4 linked regions of the Drosophila melanogaster genome follow. The protein of the gene in region 1 purifies or fractionates together with the protein of each later gene. This does not show direct contact. Each region holds a gene or a part of one and is shown on either strand. Other genes may lie near its edges.

Evidence for each region.
Region 2: the proteins of KLHL18 (region 1) and CG10324 purify together in Drosophila melanogaster (affinity purification with western blotting; one study listed by BioGRID). This does not show direct contact.
Region 3: the proteins of KLHL18 (region 1) and CG5808 purify together in Drosophila melanogaster (affinity purification with western blotting; one study listed by BioGRID). This does not show direct contact.
Region 4: the proteins of KLHL18 (region 1) and l(2)37Cb purify together in Drosophila melanogaster (affinity purification with western blotting; one study listed by BioGRID). This does not show direct contact.

What each region holds. Positions count from the first base shown.
Region 1 is NT_033777.3:12,006,942-12,012,330, reverse strand, and holds KLHL18 (kelch like family member 18), read left to right. Parts: upstream 1-1,896; 5' UTR 1,897-1,957; coding exon 1,958-2,089; exon of another isoform or gene 2,090-2,166; coding exon of another isoform or gene 2,167-2,187; coding exon 2,188-3,041; intron 3,042-3,103; coding exon 3,104-3,362; intron 3,363-3,435; coding exon 3,436-3,918; 3' UTR 3,919-3,968; exon of another isoform or gene 3,969-4,230; intron 4,231-4,402; 3' UTR 4,403-4,855; downstream 4,856-5,389. Other genes in the region: GCC185 (GRIP and coiled-coil domain containing 185 kDa), read right to left, coding at 1-1,148, 1,209-1,308, 1,371-1,400.
Region 2 is NT_033777.3:16,644,528-16,648,978, reverse strand, and holds CG10324 (uncharacterized protein), read left to right. Parts: upstream 1-1,974; 5' UTR 1,975-2,051; coding exon 2,052-2,188; intron 2,189-2,237; coding exon 2,238-2,959; intron 2,960-3,032; coding exon 3,033-3,805; 3' UTR 3,806-3,907; downstream 3,908-4,451. Other genes in the region: CCT3 (chaperonin containing TCP1 subunit 3), read right to left, coding at 1-278, 345-844, 930-991, 1,050-1,083; Arl6IP1 (ADP-ribosylation factor-like 6 interacting protein 1), read right to left, coding at 4,228-4,431.
Region 3 is NT_033777.3:24,814,392-24,818,968, reverse strand, and holds CG5808 (uncharacterized protein), read left to right. Parts: upstream 1-1,961; 5' UTR 1,962-2,016; coding exon 2,017-3,650; intron 3,651-3,712; coding exon 3,713-4,040; 3' UTR 4,041-4,066; downstream 4,067-4,577. Other genes in the region: Saf-B (scaffold attachment factor B), read right to left, coding at 120-166, 269-383, 531-558, 619-1,107, 1,233-1,352; CG34150 (uncharacterized protein), read right to left, coding at 4,105-4,271, 4,335-4,416, 4,477-4,577.
Region 4 is NT_033779.5:19,123,446-19,128,806, reverse strand, and holds l(2)37Cb (lethal (2) 37Cb), read left to right. Parts: upstream 1-1,830; 5' UTR 1,831-1,883; coding exon 1,884-2,233; intron 2,234-2,294; coding exon 2,295-2,431; intron 2,432-2,491; coding exon 2,492-4,061; intron 4,062-4,128; coding exon 4,129-4,756; 3' UTR 4,757-4,809; downstream 4,810-5,361. Other genes in the region: l(2)37Cd (lethal (2) 37Cd), read right to left, coding at 1-836, 964-1,093, 1,151-1,352, 1,415-1,534; Phb1 (prohibitin 1), read left to right, coding at 5,255-5,361.

The sequences.
Region 1 (5,389 bases):
CCGCATCTCCGTTAGCAACTCTCCATGCTCTTGCTCCTTGAGGTGGTATCGCGTAAGCAAATCCTCGTTGTGTTGGCGCAGTTCTATGCAGATGGCTTCCAACTCCTGCAACTTCCTCTGCTGATTATCACGCTCCTTTGCAATGACTTTGACCAGATTTTGCATTTGATCAAGCTTGGTCTGGAATAAGCTTACATTAAGGTTCCTGGCGTGATTTTTGGTGTTTTCCTGCTCCTTCGTTACACTTATCAATTGTTCCTTGTCAATTCTATGCTGCTGCTTTATAATGACTGCAAGCTCTTCGAGAGCGGTTATCTTCTTAAGTAGGTACTCCACATTCAAATTGCTCCTTTGGTTCTTTTGCTTCTGCTTCACTATTTTGGCTAGCCGATCCATTTCCTGAACTCTTTGCAGCAAGCGCTTGCGGTCAATTCCAGTGTCAATTGTTTGAGGATTATTGTCTGACTTTCCATTGTTCAGCTTCAGTTTTTCATTCTCGGCCTGCAGGGATGCCATCTTTGCGCACAACAGTTGCGAAGCTTTGATAATCTCCACCTGCCATTTGGAAACGGATGCGGCGTACTCGTGCTGCGTTTCCAGCAGCACGCACTTGCACTCCTTGAGGTTCTTCAACTTGCGGTGTACATCAATGAAGCGGTCCTTTAGAGAATTAAACTTCTTGCGTTGCTCAGAGTTAAGTTCCTTGATGTTTTGGTACTTTTGCTGCAGCACACTCGACTCTTCTTCCATCGTGGCGACTTGCTGGCGAAGACTAGCGTTTTCCGCCTCCGCTTCCTTAATTTTGGCAATGTCCACTTCCAAAAGTTCCAGATTCTTGCGCTGCTCGTTACCCAGAGCATTGACCTGTTGCATAGCCTTTTCCATGCGATCCACATTGGCAAGGAGGGCATCGTTTTCATCACTCAGTCGCCCAAGTTGGCGCTTTAGGCTCTCGTTCTCGATCTCGAATTGCGTCAGTCGATCGGCATCCTCTTTGGTCTTTCGTTTCAGATTATTCACTTCCTCGGTGAGGATGAGGTTCTTATCGGTGAAGTCCTGGACCATTTCCTGCATGGCTGGCAGGCTGCTCTGCTTCTCCGCCGCCCGTTTAAGGGCATCCTTGAGTCGGTGATTTTCCTCGGTGAGTTCTGAAAGAGAGTGGCTTGCATTATTCTGGAAGATTCCCTGAAACTCTCCATCAAACTTACCATCTTTTGCCTGTTTCGCCTTTTTAGCGATGTTGAGCAGGCCTTTGTATTTGCTGATGATTTCATCTTTGCTCAGCGCCTCGATCGGATTCGGGTTCTTCTGCAAATGCAAATAACAAGATGAGACGTCATCATCAATTCTAGCGACACCTTTTTACTCACCTGGGTTTCCCTCGGTGATGCGGCTTCCATGTTACTTGCTATTTTCGTATCCTTGCATTTAATAGCGGTCCAAACATTTATGTCTTAACTCAGATCAGTGGTTTTCCAATTAGCAAGCGACCCAGATTACTCGAAAATGTTTTTGGACCCTTAATCAATCCGAGCGAAGAAAACACTCCAGCCACACTAACAGCTGATAGGGCTGTCATCACCGCCCAATTAGTGATGAGCGTCTTTTTTTAAGAAGGTGACGCAAAAACGGAAAAATTACTAATTAAAATTAAATGAAAGAATAATATTGTCTTAAAAATATGTGCTTTTTAAGGATTTAATTATCACTGTTGCATAAAAAGGGCTCAACTTTTTAATAAGTATTATGAAATTACATTTTGGTCCAAGAACGTTACCTTTAAAATTAAACAATATGATTCAATAAATTTGTTTCACTACTATTGGTGTTGTTCAACTATCGAAGGAACCTCAACTATCGATTAATGTGACCGCTCACCACTGACCACCACTAGCTCTGCAGTACAAGCAACATTTGGCATCTCTACTGTTTATCATTTTCTTGATCCGTTAAAGTGATGGATTTGAGTGATAATAGCCAAGTGGAGGATCAATACTTTGTTTACAAGCATGATAAGCTATTCGGCGAGAGTTTCCCCCTGTTCAAGGAAATCCGCAGGATGGGCAAGCTGTGCGATGTCACCCTAAAGGTTGTTTGCGTGCAGACTGGGGCATTCAATCACCCGCAGCTCAGAGATACGTTCATTATCTAGCGTCTAAATATAAAATGCCATCCCAATTATTGCAGGTTGAAGATCAGACCTTCTCAGCGCACCGCGTTGTGCTGGCGGCCACCATCCCGTATTTCTATGCGATGTTCACCAACAACATGGCAGAGAGTCGGATCAAGGAGATCACCATGAAGGAGAGCGCCATAGAGCCAAGTGCCCTGGAGAGTCTGATCAACTATGTTTACAGCGGCCAAGTGCGCATCGACAACCAGAATGTGCAGAACCTGATGGTGGGCGCCAGCTTCCTGCAATTGTCCAACGTGCGGGATGCCTGTGCCAGTTTCCTGATCTCCCGCTTTCATCCGCACAATGTCCTGGGAATCCGCACCTTCGCCGACTCCATGATCTGCCGGCAGCTAATCGACGCTGCCGACAAGTATATTGATCAAAACTTTGCCAAAGTCTCGCAGTCGGAGGAGTTTCTCGCCCTGGACTGCGAACAATTGCTGGAGCTGATGCGCCGGGACGAACTCAACGTACGCACCGAGGAGGTCATCTTCGAGGCCTGCATGAAGTGGGTCAAGTACGCAGAAGACAAGCGCTCTGAGCTCTTTCCTCAGGTCCTGGCTGCAGTGCGTTTGCCATTGCTCTCGCCTCAGTTCCTGGCGGACCGTGTGGCCCGCGAGGAACTCATTCGATCCTCGCACCAATGCCGTGATCTCCTAGACGAGGCCAAGGACTTTCACCTCATGCCCGAGCGCAGGGGTCTGCTGCAGAGCTTTCGCACGCGCCAGAGATCCGGTGAGTTCTTTACCGGACAAATATACGCCGTGGGAGGACTGGCCAGCACTGGGGAATCTGTGAGCACGGTCGAGATTTACGATCCGCTCACCAAAAAATGGAAAATGGGCGAACAAATGTCCATGATGAGGTGAGTGTGCGAGGAGCATTTATTTCTATTCTATCCCATACTAATTGCCAATTTTTCGACAGATCTCGCGTGGGTGTGGCCGTTCTGAATGGCAAGCTGTACGCCTTTGGTGGATTCAATGGCACCGAACGTCTGTCCACCGTTGAGGTCTACGACCCGCGCAAAAACAAGTGGTCCCAGGGCTGTGCCATGCTCTGCAAACGCAGCGCCGTGGGCGTGGCCGCATTGGATGATTGTATCTATGTGTGCGGCGGCTACGACGGCGTCACGTCGCTCAACACCGTTGAAGTTTACTATCCAAAGTCTAACACTTGGAAGACTGTAAGTAAACAAACATTCTATGTAACCCAGATGGGTAAGAAAACTGATCCAACTTTAATTTCACTACCCGAAGGTTGCTCAAATGATGAAATATCGTTCGGCTGGTGGAGTTACCCAATTGAACGGCTACGTCTACGCCCTTGGCGGTCATGATGGGTTGTCCATATTCGATTCGGTGGAGCGGTACGACCAGGCCGAAGATGTCTGGGTTAAGATGTCGCCCATGCTGAATCGTCGCTGTAGACTGGGCGTGGCCACGCTGAACGGAAAGATATACGTGTGCGGCGGCTACTGCGGCAACTCATTCCTTCGATCCGTAGAGTGCTACGACCCTCAGACGGACACCTGGAAGCTGGTGACACCAATGAATTGCAAACGCTCGCGGGTGGCTCTGGCCGCCAACATGGGCAAACTGTGGGCCATCGGCGGCTATGATGGCGAGTCAAATTTGTCTACAGTCGAGGTGTACGATCCGGAGACCGACAAATGGACCTTTATGCCGCCCATGTGCGCACACAGTGGTGGTGTCGGAGCCGGGGTCATACGGATCGAGTAACCCACTCGATTCGCCTGCCAAACCCGTTTCTCTAGCCACACTCGTCTTAGGTAATTTATGTGAATTGAATCGATATAGTTTAGCCTAGATATGATTGTTGAGGGTAACCAAGCTTTAGTGGCACCTCGTGCGGCCGCCTCGTATGCAACTCAGCTCAGCTCTTGCAGCTCTATCAAAATTGTTCATATACTACTCACAGCTCTATAGATTTTGTCATTCCAGTTATGTAATTGTTTAGTTACTACGCCTAGCCTTAAATACTCATTACAATATTAATCCTCCAAATAAAAACATGTATAACGCATGTTATGTAAAAATTTATTAATGGTTGGTTTATTTTTGTAAGACGGGTAAAATAGTCCTATGTATAACTAAAATCAATTTCACACCAATTTAAATCATATTTTATTTAATTTAATTTAAATTGAACTAGACTCTTAACATTAAAGTTATCTAAAGACGTATTCTTTGTATTCATTTTCAGTCATTACCCTCGCCATTTGTAATCTTGAAATGTTTTAGAAGGTTGTTAAAGTTCAGTAATTTCCTTACAGTAAAGGGACGACTGTCAACCTTTTGCACATCGTATAAATCAATTGTGTTTCGACGATCCATATGGGCGGCGGATACGTTTTATTTGAACAATAATAAATGGTTGACAAATAACAAAGCAATCTGAGCGACAAAAAGGCGAAAATGGCGAGGGCAGCGCAAAAAGTTGATGGTCAATAAGCAGGCCTTTATGGAAGGCAGTGCACTTGTTTATTGTCCCTAAAATACTTTCAGTTTTAATTAAAAATGATTAAATATTATTACCCAAGTCCCAATGTCTATCTACAATTTTCTACTTATTTTGTAACGAATAAATGTACCTTCCCTCGTTGCATCTCAGTTGAACATGCGGAGTATCTCTTCCCTTGATATTTGTACACCTCCCACGCGCGGAATGCAATTTTAAATTCGATTTGCACCACCTGCTCAAAGTGCAGCGGCAGCAAAACTAATTCGGAGCAACAGGTGGCAATGGCGCATCCAAAAATAGAGGCTAACGAAACCAAACCAAAACAAAATCAATTTGCCGTCTATCACTGACCCATAAAATGCCATACGCACAGCAAAGGGTCATAATCCAATCAATTGCACACTTAACGTACATATTTCGCAGTTATCAGATGGTTCCAGCGATGGAGGACCTTATCGCCGATCCGGATACGATCCGGTCCTGTTCCCGATTGCCAATGGCTACATGTATATTTATGTGGCTCTGCAGCGGCACGGCTATTTGCACAAGCGAAAAGGCTTTGTGGCGGCGGTCTTATTTGATTTTGATAATCAAATCACAAATTGCTTGTCTATCGATGGGCAATTTTATTTTAATTAAATGCTAATTATGTTTACCAAATGGTTGGAGTAAATATTTGTTGCATCACCGGGGACAATTGTTTATCACCACCAAACTGGAGCTCGTTTA
Region 2 (4,451 bases), 4.6 Mb from region 1:
CCAAATCCGGTTTCACGGCAATGATGTCGGCGCAGATGCGCTGCACAAACTCCTCCTCGATCTGCAGCATGCGGGTGAAGTCTTGCTCCCCGATTATCTCCACGTTGGTTTGGCTCTCGCCCTTCTTGTACTCCAGCGAGCAGTCAAGCAGCACGATGCGGGGATTCTCGATGAGGCGTCGCATCTTGGGATGCGTCACGTCTTTGTTGATCATCACGCCCTTAAGAACACACGACTCCTCGATGGCGCCACCCGGGATCTTCTCCACCTTGGCATAGCTGTGAAAGTAACAAAGTTAAAATTATTTATTCAAAAATAATATGCATAACAAATTTCGTTCTTACCGTTTAATGTCTACCTCCAGACGGCCGTTCTCACTTAGCGTCACTGTCTCGACTGCGTCCAGGGCAATCTTGACGGCAAGGTCGGACCACTTGCCAATGAACTTGGTGCCCACACAGGCCTTGACCACATCGGCCATCTTGGCCTTATCCTTGACGTCCAACTGGATGCTAAGCTGGGACTGCAGGTGGCCGACGATGTCCTCGAGGGCCTCGCGATAGGCGCGAATGATAACAGTGGGGTGGATCTGTTGCTGGAGGAAGGGCTCGGCGGCGGCCAGCATCTCGCCGGCCAGGACGATGACCGATGTGGTACCATCGCCAACCTCCTCGTCTTGTGTGCGAGCAATTTCAATCATGCTCTTGGCCGCCGGGTGCTGCACAGTGATCTCACGCAGGATGGCGTTGCCATCGTTGGTCATCACGATGCCGCCCATTGGGTCCATCAGCATCTTCAGCATGGCCTGTGGCCCCAGACATGTGCGTATCACATCGGCGATGGCCTGGAAAAAGACGTTTTAATCAACAGATGGTCGGAAAACGCGAGAACACAAAAACCCAAGACCCAGACATGTGAGTCACGCATACCTTTCCGGCTTGGATGTTCTCCAACTGCACTTTGCGGCCCGATTCTCTCTTTGTGTTTTGACCTGTCGGCGGGTAATTCGATTGCAATTGGGCTCTACGACGTGCAAATTTCATACTCACTCAACACGAGTATTGGCTGCTGTCCACCGAACATCTTTCTGGCTGTTTAATTTATTTCTGCGTGAAAACAATTGAACTCGTGCTGGCGCTGCCGCTGTTTGAAAGAGAATGAGTGAGGTTAGAACCGCCGATGACACATTATTCGAGAAGGTTCGATAGGATATTGAGCGGACCGGCTTGTTAGTTACTTCTGCCAGTTCCTTCTTCTAGTTTCTTTTCTTTCCTCACTTACTGCTAACTGACTTTTGCGATCGCTTATAAGTTTAATTCAAATTCTCCACAATTCGAAGCAGCAGCTCTCTTAAGAATCGATATCGAGAAACAGTATACTTACACTATGCAGCTTTTGTTATCGATGTCACAGAATTACATTCGTCATAACTGCGATTTTTTGAAGGCGCCTAACTTGGTTTTAAATTTTCCACCCTGAGGTTTAAGCGAAATCAAAACATTAAACTTGTAACAATAAATAATATTTTCTACGGTGTAAGTGATACTGGAAATTAATTTATATTACGAATGGATTTTAAATTTATGTTATATAGCATATTTCTATCACATCATAATTAAAATGTGGAAATTTTGAAGCCTAAAAAGCCTAACCAACTAAACTCAAAAGAAGTTAAAATATAATTTATGAAAATTGTATCACCTTCGAAAAAGAAAATGTTGGAGGATATTCTGAATATAACGGGGGAAAAGTGATTACTTGGAATGATGAGTTACATAAACAGCGTCGAACTTTTTAATATTTGAAGATCCTGTGCTGTATTCAATAAAACTGCTCAAAACGTATTAAATGGATTTCATGGTAGTTTTTATATATAAATGGAAAAACAAATAAGTTTTGCAAATACTTTAAAAGTGTAGTGTAAGCGTTTCATAAATTAAATAAATTATCGATATCGATAACAAACCGCGAGTCAGCTGTGGCCTGTTTGTTTACGATACATTTCGGCTTCAATTTGTTTTTAATAGTTATTAATTTTTTAACTAGACAACATGGAGGCCAAGAAGATATCTTTTGGCTTTAGTAAATTGTCCAAGAAACCAAACATTCTGCCCAGCAAGCAGCCGAAAGAGGAAAGCAAGGTGGAGTTGATAAAATGCTTGGAAGGAAACGAAATCATGCCAGTCGAGTAAGTTAAAATATCTTGAAATAGTTTTATACTCATATGTAATATTTAGCGAAAAGGTGGAAGCTGCTCCTCTTACCATCAAAATGATAGGCATGCAGAAGACTTCGTCCGCTTTGGCGAGTCTGATGAGGAGGCGGGCAGTTCTGCTGGGCGAGGAGGAACCGGATCCAGAGGAGGTGACTCCAGTGGCTCAGTCTATAGCAGAGGTCACCGCAGGCGGTCCAACGGAGAGTCTGGAACAGAGAGCAGCTCGGGAATTGATATCTGCCATCCAAAATAACGGTGCCGAAGGCCTAGATGACCAGAAACTTGTCCTGCCCGCCCTAAGCGCAGACGAACTGCCTCTCGATGGTGCCAAGGAGGCAACACTAGATGACTATGACAACATACCGATACAACAATTTGGCCTAGCCATGCTGCGCGGCATGGGCTGGGTTGATCCACCGCCAAAAAAGAAGGGCTCAGGACCCATCGATGATGCCCCCTTTCTGCGACCCAAAGGCATGGGCCTGGGAGCAGATAAGGCGCTCAAACCTAAAGCTCTACTGGTCCAGCCGGAGAAGAACGAGGTACTGGAGATTAAGAAGCAGGCGTACGTGCGCATTCTGGGCGGAAAGCAGAAGGATCAGTATGGCCAAATCCAAGGTTTTGATGACCATGCAGGGCGAGTAATTGTCAAAATGGCAATTGGAGGGGCCAAAGAGGCGTTCAACGAGTTCCTTTGTCAGCCCGTATCCCGCAAGGAGTACTCTCAGTATGGCAAGTGCATAAGTAAGTGGAGCCTGGAAAATGCAAATCCTTTATATTTGTGACATTTTTATATTTCTTTTACATTTACTTTCAGACACTGCCAAATACGAAGAATTCAAAAAAAATGAAAACGAGCATGGCCAGATTATTGTGAAGCAGGAAAATCCGTCAGGAAGAAGGGACAGAGACCGCAGGGAAGAAATTAGATCAGACCGGGATGAAGCTCAAAATCAAAAGAGTTCGAAGCCAGGGGACCAGAGATCTAGTAAAGAAGACTATCGCATGAAATGCAAGGAAGAAGATAAAAGGTCTTACAAATATGAAGACAAAAAAACGTACAAAGACGAACATCGCAGGACGTACAAAGACGAGCGAAAATCGTACAAGGAAGCCAAATCTAACAAAGAGGAGGTGGATCGAGAAAAGAAGTATGTGCGGAGTGGTAGCTCCTCTGTATCTAAACGCGAGGAACGTGAGCGTCGTCGTTCGCCGAGTCCCAGAGGCAGAAGCCCATCTAAGTCGAAGCGGGAAGACCGTGACCAAAAGCGTTCGCAAAGTCCCCGAAGCACCAGAAGAACAAAGAGTAGTTCAGACGAGGCAGACGATACGGGAGAGTCCACCGAGAGCGACTCCGACTCTGCATATGAACGCAGGAAGCACAAGAAGAAATCATCCAGCCACAAGTCAAGAAAACACTCAAAGAAGTCCAAGAACAAGTCGAGAAAGGCGGACAACGACTCCAGCTTAGAGAGCGATGACAGCCTCGGTGAAAACCATCGTCGTCACCACAGCAAGCACAAAAAGAAGACCAAGAGGAGCAAGCATGTCAGGTCCCGCACGCGATCAAGGTCAAGAGACCGTCAGTGATTGATCTATTTAGTTGAAATCTTTATTTAAATATAGTTCATTAGACGCTTAAGTTCCTTTTTTTATCTTACTTGGGATTATCATAAATTTCAATTAACTCACAAAATAATCACAAAAATGCCTTGTCTTTTGTTGCGCGTTTTTTTCTCTCTCCGTACGCCTCGTTTCGAGAATACTTCTGTCTTACATGTTACAAACTTATAGTAGGAGATGTGATGGGGCCAGAACCACGGATTTGCTAGTTTTCCGAGTTTTTTTTTTCTGTATGCGCTGCTCTTATCTTTTAAGATATTTATAGTTTCAAATTCAATGCGCCTAATGTGTGATTTAGTGATGCGATGTGTGCATAATGGCAAGTAGATGACTTAGGCATGTTTTATATTTTTGGTCAAATGGTGATGAGTTTATCTGGTTGCTTTCCTTTACTGCAGCTTCCTTTTGCCGCACTGGATCTTCTCGTTAATAATCTTCGAGGCCCTTTGGGTGATGGCCTTAAAAATGTCCTTGTTCTGTAGTCCTGGCCACATGAGGATGAGTAGGGTGGCCAAGTACATAAGCAGTAGATTGTTAATGATGGCTCCAATCCAGGCCATAGCCAAAAGACCCAAACTCATGACGATTACAAACTGGAATCAAAACGAATAAA
Region 3 (4,577 bases), about 13 Mb from region 1:
TCAATGGTTTAGTCAATTTTTTCGACCTTAACTGGGTTCATGCTTGGTCTGATCATTCCCAACGCAAGACCATCCGAACACACCATTCTTATTCATGCTAAAACTTTAACTTAATTTACCTTTATCGTCCTTTTGATTCGACGACTTTCCTGAGGACTTTTGTTCACTATTTTCCATAATAATTTATGCACAATCATGTGGCGAAATGAAAAGAAAAAATATATTATGTTATTAGAAGACATGTCACAGAAACGTTTTCAAATCTTACCTAGAGTCCTTCTTATCACCGGATTTCTCATCCCTTTTCTTGGAGCGAGCTCCGTCGTCATTCTTCTTGTCGGCATCCTTCGAGTTAGACTTTTCGGATTTATTGGCCGGTTTGACTGTGAATCAGGATAACTTTTATTAACATATTAGCTTTATTTCTTGTATTTCGTATTTCTTAATCGATTGCATGAATACAAACGCCATGATATTTCTAGTCATGAATTATAAATTTTCTATGGTTTTGAGTGATACTGCAAACATACCAGACTTAATAGATTTGTCGTCGGAAGCCTGAGGACAAAACAAATTGGATTAGAATACATCAATTTAAGGCCAAATAGTTAAAATCACCTCATCGTGCAGCAGCTTCTGCTCGTCCTCCCCAATTGTCAAATTGATTGACTCGTCATTGTCCATATTTCCGGTGTCCCCGGTGTTTTCCTCCTCACCATGGATAATAGCCTTGTCGTCGCCATTGTTCTCGGCTCCATCGTCCTGAGCTTTCCCCTCGGCATCGCCATCACCGCTCTGGGGCTCATCGTCGTACACATGATCCTCATCCTCTTCATCGTCGTCATCCAGGATCACACACTCATCGTCCACATCTCCCACCTGGTCAATCTCATGCCCATCGTCGTCGGCATGATGCGAGTAGTCGTTGCCATTCTGGTAATCATCTTGCTGTTCCACCTTCACCTCCTCCTCATTGGCATCGATGGGCTCTTCCTTGATCACCACCTCCGACTGGAGATCTTTCATGGGCATGGCAAACGGCTTCTTGGCCTTCGCGCCCGGCACAATCAAGTGGGTGGCCGGGTCGAGCCCTTCAGCTCTGAGTGACTTGAAATTAGAAAAAACCAGGCGTTGCTTACACACATTCATAAATCCCCGGAAATTGCATCACTATCTCTATCGCCAGCGGCACTGAACCGCCATTTAAGTTGCATACATATTTGTGGACTTACTTTTTCAAGGCGTTCGATGAGCACCGCCTTGGGGCCGACTGTCTCCAACTCGCGTTTCTCCAGCTCACTCTTTAGATCGCACACGCGCAACTCTGCTATTTTCTTTCCTGCCTCGGGCATTTTACCTTGTTCTAGATCACTGGTCACTTGCTTAACTATTAATTGTCGCTTTTTAAGATTGGAATGAAATTTTCTGTACTTTTTTCCAGTCTCGAAACGTGTGAAAATTCTTTGACAAGTCTCACTGATACACACACAATTATCGAATGACAATCGAAAATGGCGATTACGAAGTTACGTTCTGTTTTTAAAATATTCAATCGATGTCAAGTATCGGATGAACTTACGCATCGTGTATAACTATTTACATTTACAGGTATGGACTTCTTTGATCAATTTGTATTTTCTTTATTTTTTTTCAGTTTTGTTCAGTTTGTATTTTTTTTACTTTTTTCTCAGTTTAGGGTACATAAAAAAAAATATTTTTTTTTCAAAATTTATGTAAAATACCAATTTTGTACAAGTTTCATATAACACCGACATAAGTCACATTAAATTAATAATTGTATTAGAAAATTTGGATAATTAATTTATACCTACAATTTATACACTTCTCTCCTCCGATGCGCAGTAGAGATGGAAAAACATCGATGATTCCTCGAAAAACATCGATGTTTGTGATTTTTCGAAAGCATCGATGATATCGATTTGGCATCGATGTTTCTCCACCTCTATATTGTTCTTGTTTATCCCTTGATTTTGCCGGTATCTGTGAATTCGCACAATGTCGGTGGTTATAGAAACCACGATGGGTGACCTGACCGTCGACCTGTTCATCAGCGAGCGCCCAATTGCCTGCCTAAACTTCCTCAAGCTGTGCCGGCTGAAGTACTATAACTTCAATCTATTTCACACGGTGCAGCAGGGATTCATCGCCCAAACAGGCGATCCGAGTGGAGCTGGAGACGGCGGATCCTCCATCTGGGGCGTGGTGGAGGGTCCGCAAAAGCGCTTCTTCGAGGCGGAGTTCCTGCCCAAGATTAACCACTCCAGTGCCGGAATGCTATCGCTGGTCAGTGCAGGCAAGAATCTGGTGGGATCCCAGTTCTTCCTCACGCTGGGTGAGAACCTAACATCGCTGGACGGCAACCACTGCGTTATCGGTGAAGTGGTGGAAGGTCACGAGGTGCTGCGCAAGCTAAACGACGCCATTGTTGACGACAGCTTCCGTCCTTACCAGGATATACGCATCACACACACTGTTGTGCTTGAGGATCCGTTTCCTAATCCGCGCGGCCTTCAGGCTCCAAGTCGCTCACCTTCGCCCAGTGCGGAGCGTCTGAAGAACGGGCGCATCGCTGCCGACGAGGATATCGATGACACTGATGGCATGACCGCGGAGGAGATGCAGGAGATGCTGGCCGAACGAGAGGCCAAGGCTCGAGCCACAATCCTTGAGATTGTCGGCGATTTACCCGATGCAGACATGGCTCCGCCAGAAAATGTCTTGTTTGTGTGCAAACTCAATCCTGTTACAACCGACGATGATCTGGAGATAATCTTTAGTAGCTTCGGCGTGCTTAAAGGATGTGAGGTGATTCGCGACCGCAAAACGGGAGATTCTCTGCAATATGCTTTTGTGGAGTTCGAGGATCAAAAATCTTGTGAGGCCGCATATTTCAAAATGGATAATGTGCTTATCGACGATCGACGCATCCACGTGGACTTCTCCCAATCCGTTTCAAAGGTCACCTGGCGGGGCAAAGGACGTGGTATTGAGGGCGACTATAGAAAGCTGGATTTTAACAATTTGCGAGACGACAAAGATCACAGGAAACCAAACAATGGCCGGTCCAGAACAGAAGACCATAAGGAGCGCAACAGGACGGAAGATTTTCGAAATAGGATGAGCTCTGCAGAGCGAAGAAAAGCGAGAGAACAGCGACACCAGGAGCAAAGCGAACGAGATGTTCGAAAGAATTTGCAAAGACGCACCAGATCGAAGGAAAAAGATGAAAAAAGTGTTTATAGATCGAAAAAATCGCAAAATGAGTCAGTCAGAGAGAACTCAAATCGCGAAAGGAATCGCAATGAAAAAAGGTCATCGAGGTCTCGGGATGCAACACATAGAAGGTACTCTAGGTCAAGAGATCGAGAAGAGAGAAGGCCTTCTAGGCCTAGAGACCAATTAGGAAGACGTTCTAGGTCAAGGGACCAAAAGGAAAGAAGACGCTCTAGGCCAAGGGAACAAAATGAGAGAAGGCGTTCTAGATCTAGAGATCAAACTGGAAAAAGACCGACTCAAAACAGAGATCGCAATGACAGCAGGCGATTCCATTCCCCTCAAGAAGGAAGACGTAACGATGAGAGATCGCATAGAGAAACCTCCAGGAATCAAAGAAGATCGCCAGAGCGGAGGTAAAAATGTTAAGCATCTGGATGTATACAAAATCTTTAACTATCTATCTATCTTTTTATAGGCAACAATCCAGGAACCGGGAAGACCATAGAATGGACACTCACTCAAGCCCTAACAAGAGTCATGAGAAGAAAAGAAAACTTTCAGTGGAAAAGAGCAAAAAGCAAGCCAAGAAATCGAAACGAGCAGCTAGCAGCAGTTCAGATTCGAGTGAAAGTTCCTCGGAATCCGAAAGCGACTCCACATCTTCAGATAGTTCCGAGGACAGCTCTAGCAGCTCCTCATCGTCGGACGATCGCAGCAAACGCAAAAAGAGTACAAAATCCAAGCAAAAGAAGTCCAAGTCAAAGAGTAGTCACAAATCGAAGAAGAAACATAATAGAAATTAAAGATAAACGACGTAATTAATCAGAACAAAACCATCTTGACTACAGCTAAATATTGAATATATTTTTATTTGTTGCGGGCCTGGACTTCGGCTTCCAGCGCCGCCATCGCAGCGCCACCGCAGCAACCTTCAGTGTTTTTGTCGCCGCGTTGCCTGCGCGGTTTTTCGATAATTGCGTCAGGATTAAAGACCACATTGTCGAGTCGCGTTGTCTCTGGCGTGATCCTTAGTTCTGTAAATATAGCCAAATTTTAATTTTGAGCGCTCTTTTATGTAATCGCCATGCCCCACTGACCATAAACACCATCCTCTTTTTTCTGGGCTTGGATGACATTCGTTCGCAGCTCCAAATCCACGTCCTGCGCCAGCTTGATCATCTGTAATTTGCCAAATTGCCATATATGTACTTAGTTAGAATTTACAAAAAGTGGTTAAACCTTTTGAATTTCATCCTCGCTGCTTTCATTACGATTCTGCAGGAAAGATTCGTTGATTTTTAGTCGTCCCGCCGCCAAAGCATTGGCATCCCCCTGAAAAA
Region 4 (5,361 bases), on another chromosome or scaffold:
CCTCCACTTCGGCTGTAAGATTCTCCTTGCGGTAATGGTTGCGCAAAAGTTCGCTGATCGAGGCGCAGACAATCTGACGCACTTGAGCATCGAATCCCGGCGGCAGCCAGCCCGTGCGTTCATTGCACACAGCTCCGGTAAGTGGAGTGGGGATCTTCTCCAACATTTCCTGGATCCTCGTCATACGGACGTCGCAGTAGCGCAGCATGCATTGCCTGGAGCGCGGCAGCTTGTGCTCATCGAAGTAGGGATAGTCAATGTCCTGAACCAAATCAGAGACTCGATCCTCGATGGGCGCGAATGGAGCGTTCGCCGCCCTCCGTTGCTTTACGAACTTCTTAGCATACACGAATTCGGAGAGACCAGTGCTGAATCGGAGTCGGAAGTCGAAAGTCTGATAGTAGCGACTATTGAAGTCCTTGCGGGGATCGTAGCCGAAGCGAACATACAAAGTGCGCCACGGGCCGTTGCTAAAGTAAAATGCCAGCGATGGAGTGATGCACTTGAGTTTGTCGTTGGTCAAACCCGATTCATATTGCAGCGCGATTCGGGTCCAAATTGGGCAGTCATCGAAAAGTTTTTTGACCAATGCCAGCTGCTCATCCGAAACGTACTTGACCTTGAGTCGTTTAAGGTTTTGGGAGTCTGCCTGGGTGGGAAAGCTGTCCACCATGTTGAACGAGACCACGCCCTGGTTGTCGTAGGAGGACTTGGACTGCACGCCCAGCACCTCATGTTGGCCGTCTTCTGAGGGATCGATGCGATACGTGCCCGCATAGACAGTGTCCACGTGGGTGAACAATTCGGGCAGCGCCAGCAACTGGCTGTGGCGACGTCTGTGGGAAAAATACGATGCTTTTACATACTGAGCATTAAAATGATTAATTATACATGCTATATAGCTTTCAAACCAGGATCTCATTCTCTTGGTGCACAGAGCACGAATATGGACAAGTTACTCACTTAAAGTAGTCCAAGTCGGTGGTGTTTTTGGGTTTCAACTGGTCCAAAGCGTACGTGAGCTCCTGGGCAGCATTTGCGTTGTCACTTTTGGGAGTTGACCAGAGGGGTAGGTATTGGAAATCACAAAGCGCTTAAAGTAAAAGGAAATTAGAATATATCGTGGATGGAATTCCGACCATCTACTCACTTTCAAAGGTGAAGCTCCTGCTGCAGTGGCCCAACACCCGCACAAAATATTCCGGAGGCCGTTGCTTGTCCTTTTTGTGGCGCCTCACGGTTATGGATAGCAGGACACCAGTCTTATCCGTGCAGTCCCCAAAAGTGGGTTTGTTGTAGGGATTCTCCGGATGGAAGTGCAACGCCAATCGTTTCACTTCGTCGCCCAAAACCTGTGCATGGAATAAGATATCAGCCAAGTTGCCCGATTGCCTGACCAGGTTGAATTCCATACCTTAGACACATTGATGATGCCGCCCAGAGTGGCTATCATCCGATCGGGATTTACCACTCGGCCGGGGTACTCGATCAACTCATATTCTTTCTGCGGATTGAAACTCAATTGGCGCGACATGATATGAAACTGAGGTGAGTTTAACGAATTAAACAGCTGTTAGGGGAACAGTGATGCTCTCTACTAATAAATTCGAGCAAAAAAAAATGAGCAACACACAAAATTGAATGTGCCATGAAGGTGTACCCATAAGTCCTTTAAAACTAGTTATTGCCACAAATAAGCCTATAATATAAGAAACATAATTTGTAATAAAATAAATATAGAATATTATATATATATATAATATATTTTTAGCAATTTGATTATTATTGTTTGCTCACCCAGTGCTGAAAATAGCTAGCTTGGCAGCACTGCATGTTATCGAATTACCTATCGCTAGCCGGTTTGTTTATAGGCAATCTTGAAAATGTCGGGTAAAAACAGAAAACGCACGGCCAGCAGCAGCAGCAGCGGTGAGGAGCCGGACAGCGAGGAAGAGTCTCGCCTAAAGGACCTGCAGGAGCGCGACGAGTTCGCCAGCCGGCTGAAGAAGCGGGATGACGATCGGACGCGCAATGTGGTTGATTCCACCGGCGGACGAAGGGCCATCGAGGAGGCCACCAAGCGACTGAAGCTTGAGCATGAGGATCGGGACAAGATAGTGCCTCACCTGCGTCTGCAGTCGCGTCGCCAGTACCTGGAGAAGCGCAAGGATGACAAGGTGGCCGAGCTGGAGGCGGACATCCTGGACGATGAGTACCTCTTCGATGAGAGCGTGTAGGATCATAGCTTAATCCTTACCTACATAGGTATCCAAATAATCCTGGTTTGCTTTCAGCCTGACCAAACGGGAGAAGGAGGAGCGCGAGTACAAGAAGCAACTGCTGAACATCGCCAAGGAGCACGAGAAGGCGCGGGAACTAGAGCGCATCCAGCGTTATAATATGCCGCAGGACCTGAAAAAGGGAGAGCGATGTATGTAGACAACGTACGTTGGTCCTCGATAAATACTTATATGTTATTTTTCCACTTAAGCTGAATACGTTGAGGTTGATGAGTTTGAGAAGCAACCCAACTCAGAGCAGAAGAAATGGGAGGCTGAACAGCTGGCTTCGGCGCGTTTCCATTTCGGCGCGAAAGATGCCAAGGCGGAGGAGGAGTATGAGCTGCTACTTGACGATCAAATCGATTTCATCCAAGCCCTTACCCTGGACGGAAGTCGAGAGAAATCATCTAGCCGACAGCCCGAACTCACGGAGAAGGAACGCAAACGTTTGACATTGGACGAAACCAGAAGATCACTGCCCGTTTATCCGTTCAAGGAGGATCTGATTGCTGCTGTAAAGGAACATCAGGTGCTCATCATCGAAGGAGAAACAGGCTCGGGCAAAACGACACAGGTGCCGCAGTACCTCGTGGAAGCTGGTTTCACCAAGGACAAGAAGATGATCGGATGCACGCAACCACGTCGTGTGGCCGCCATGTCGGTGGCAGCACGCGTGGCCGAGGAAATGGGCGTGAAGCTGGGCAACGAGGTGGGCTACAGCATCCGTTTCGAGGACTGCACCTCGGATCGCACCATTCTCAAGTACATGACGGACGGCACCCTGCATCGAGAGTTCCTTTCGGAACCCGACTTGGCCTCCTACAGTGTGATGATTATCGATGAGGCTCACGAACGGACACTGCACACGGACATTTTGTTTGGCCTGGTCAAGGATATTGCTCGCTTTAGACCAGAGTTGAAGCTGCTCATTTCCAGTGCCACTCTGGATGCGGAAAAGTTCTCCGCGTTCTTCGATGATGCACCCATCTTTCGGATACCTGGTCGCCGCTATCCAGTGGACATATTCTACACCAAGGCTCCGGAAGCGGACTACATCGACGCGTGTTGCGTTTCAGTTTTGCAGATTCATGCCACTCAACCTTTGGGCGACATTCTAGTCTTCCTCACGGGTCAGGATGAGATCGAGACTTGCCAGGAGGTTCTGCATGATCGCGTAAAGCGGCTGGGCTCCAAAATACGTGAGCTGATCGTTATACCCGTCTATGCGAATCTACCGAGTGATATGCAGGCCAAAATCTTCGAACCCACACCGCCGAATGCCCGAAAAGTTATCCTGGCCACAAATATCGCAGAGACTTCGCTAACCATCGACAACATCATTTATGTAATTGATCCTGGGTTTGCCAAGCAGAACAATTTTAATTCCCGCACTGGCATGGAGTCGCTTATGGTGGTGCCCATTTCCAAGGCCTCCGCCAATCAGCGAGCGGGCAGAGCGGGACGAACTGCTCCGGGAAAGTGCTTCCGTCTGTATACGGCGTGGGCATACAAGCATGAACTGGAGGACAATACCGTTCCGGAGATACAGCGTATTAATCTGGGCAATGCGGTGCTCATGCTAAAGGCTCTGGGCATCAATGATCTGATACACTTCGACTTTCTGGACCCTCCGCCGCACGAGACACTGGTATTGGCTTTGGAGCAGCTATATGCCCTGGGTGCACTTAATCACCATGGAGAGTTAACCAAGCTGGGTCGACGGATGGCCGAGTTTCCCGTGGATCCCATGATGGGCAAGATGCTGCTGGCAAGCGAAAAGTATGTAATCGATCTAACAAACCAGAAGTGAAATAATTCGTATAATATTCGTATATTTTTGTTTTAGATACAAATGCTCCGAGGAGATGGTGACCATTGCAGCCATGCTGTCCGTGAATAGCGCCATTTTCTACAGGCCCAAGGACAAAATCATTCACGCGGACACAGCCCGAAAAAACTTCAATCACATGCACGGCGACCACTTGAGCCTCCTGCAGGTCTACAATCAGTGGGCGGAGACGGACTACAGCACCCAGTGGTGCTACGAGAACTTCATCCAGTACAGATCGATGAAGCGGGCTCGCGACGTGCGGGAGCAGCTGGTGGGACTGATGCAGCGTGTCGAGATCGACATGGTCAGCTGCCTGCCAGAAACAGTAAACGTGCGCAAGGCAGCCACCGCTGGTTACTTTTACCATGTGGCGCGACTCTCGAAGGGCGGTCACTACAAGACCATCAAGCACAATCAGACCGTGATGATACATCCGAACTCCTCGCTCTTTGAGGAGCTGCCGCGCTGGGTGCTCTATCACGAGCTGGTGTTCACCTCCAAGGAGTACATGCGTCAGGTTATAGAGATCGAGAGCAAGTGGTTGCTGGAGGTGGCTCCGCACTACTACAAGGCCAAGGAGCTGGAGGATTCGACGAACAAGAAGATGCCAAAAGTCGCCGGGCGAGCCGAAATGGCGCAATAATTTTGAGGGGGTTTTTAGTTTTCAATTAATAATAAACTTTTATTGTAAATTTCACCATTTGTAGTTTGATATTGTAAACTGGCTTTGTTTATTATTATTCTTTTTAAATTTCGATAATCGATAATCTTAGGAAACAATCGAATACGATTCTTATTAGTACGTTTCGATATATGGCGGCCCCACCGACAGTTGTATTATCGATAACAGGCCGTGTGGTTGTATTTCGTGTTTTGCATTTCAAAGAGCAAAATTGCACAATAATTTAATTTAAGTGCAACCAAAAACCTTTAACAAGTGAGTCTATGAGCGAGCCGAGCTAACTGCGTTTGAAGACCAGGAAGAACAGGGGATAAAAACACGCAAACAGCACATTGTCATTAAACCATGACGTTCTAACCTAAAAACTGATGAAATTTCCAAGTCCAGTCGGCTTTCATTTACATATATAGTTTATAGAACAGTAACTAAATACATTACGTTTGTTTTATTCAAAGGATAATGGCTGCTCAGTTCTTTAATCGCATTGGCCAAATGGGCCTCGGAGTGGCCGTTTTGGGTGGCGTTGTCAATTCGGCATTATATAATGTGGAAGGCGGCCACCGGGC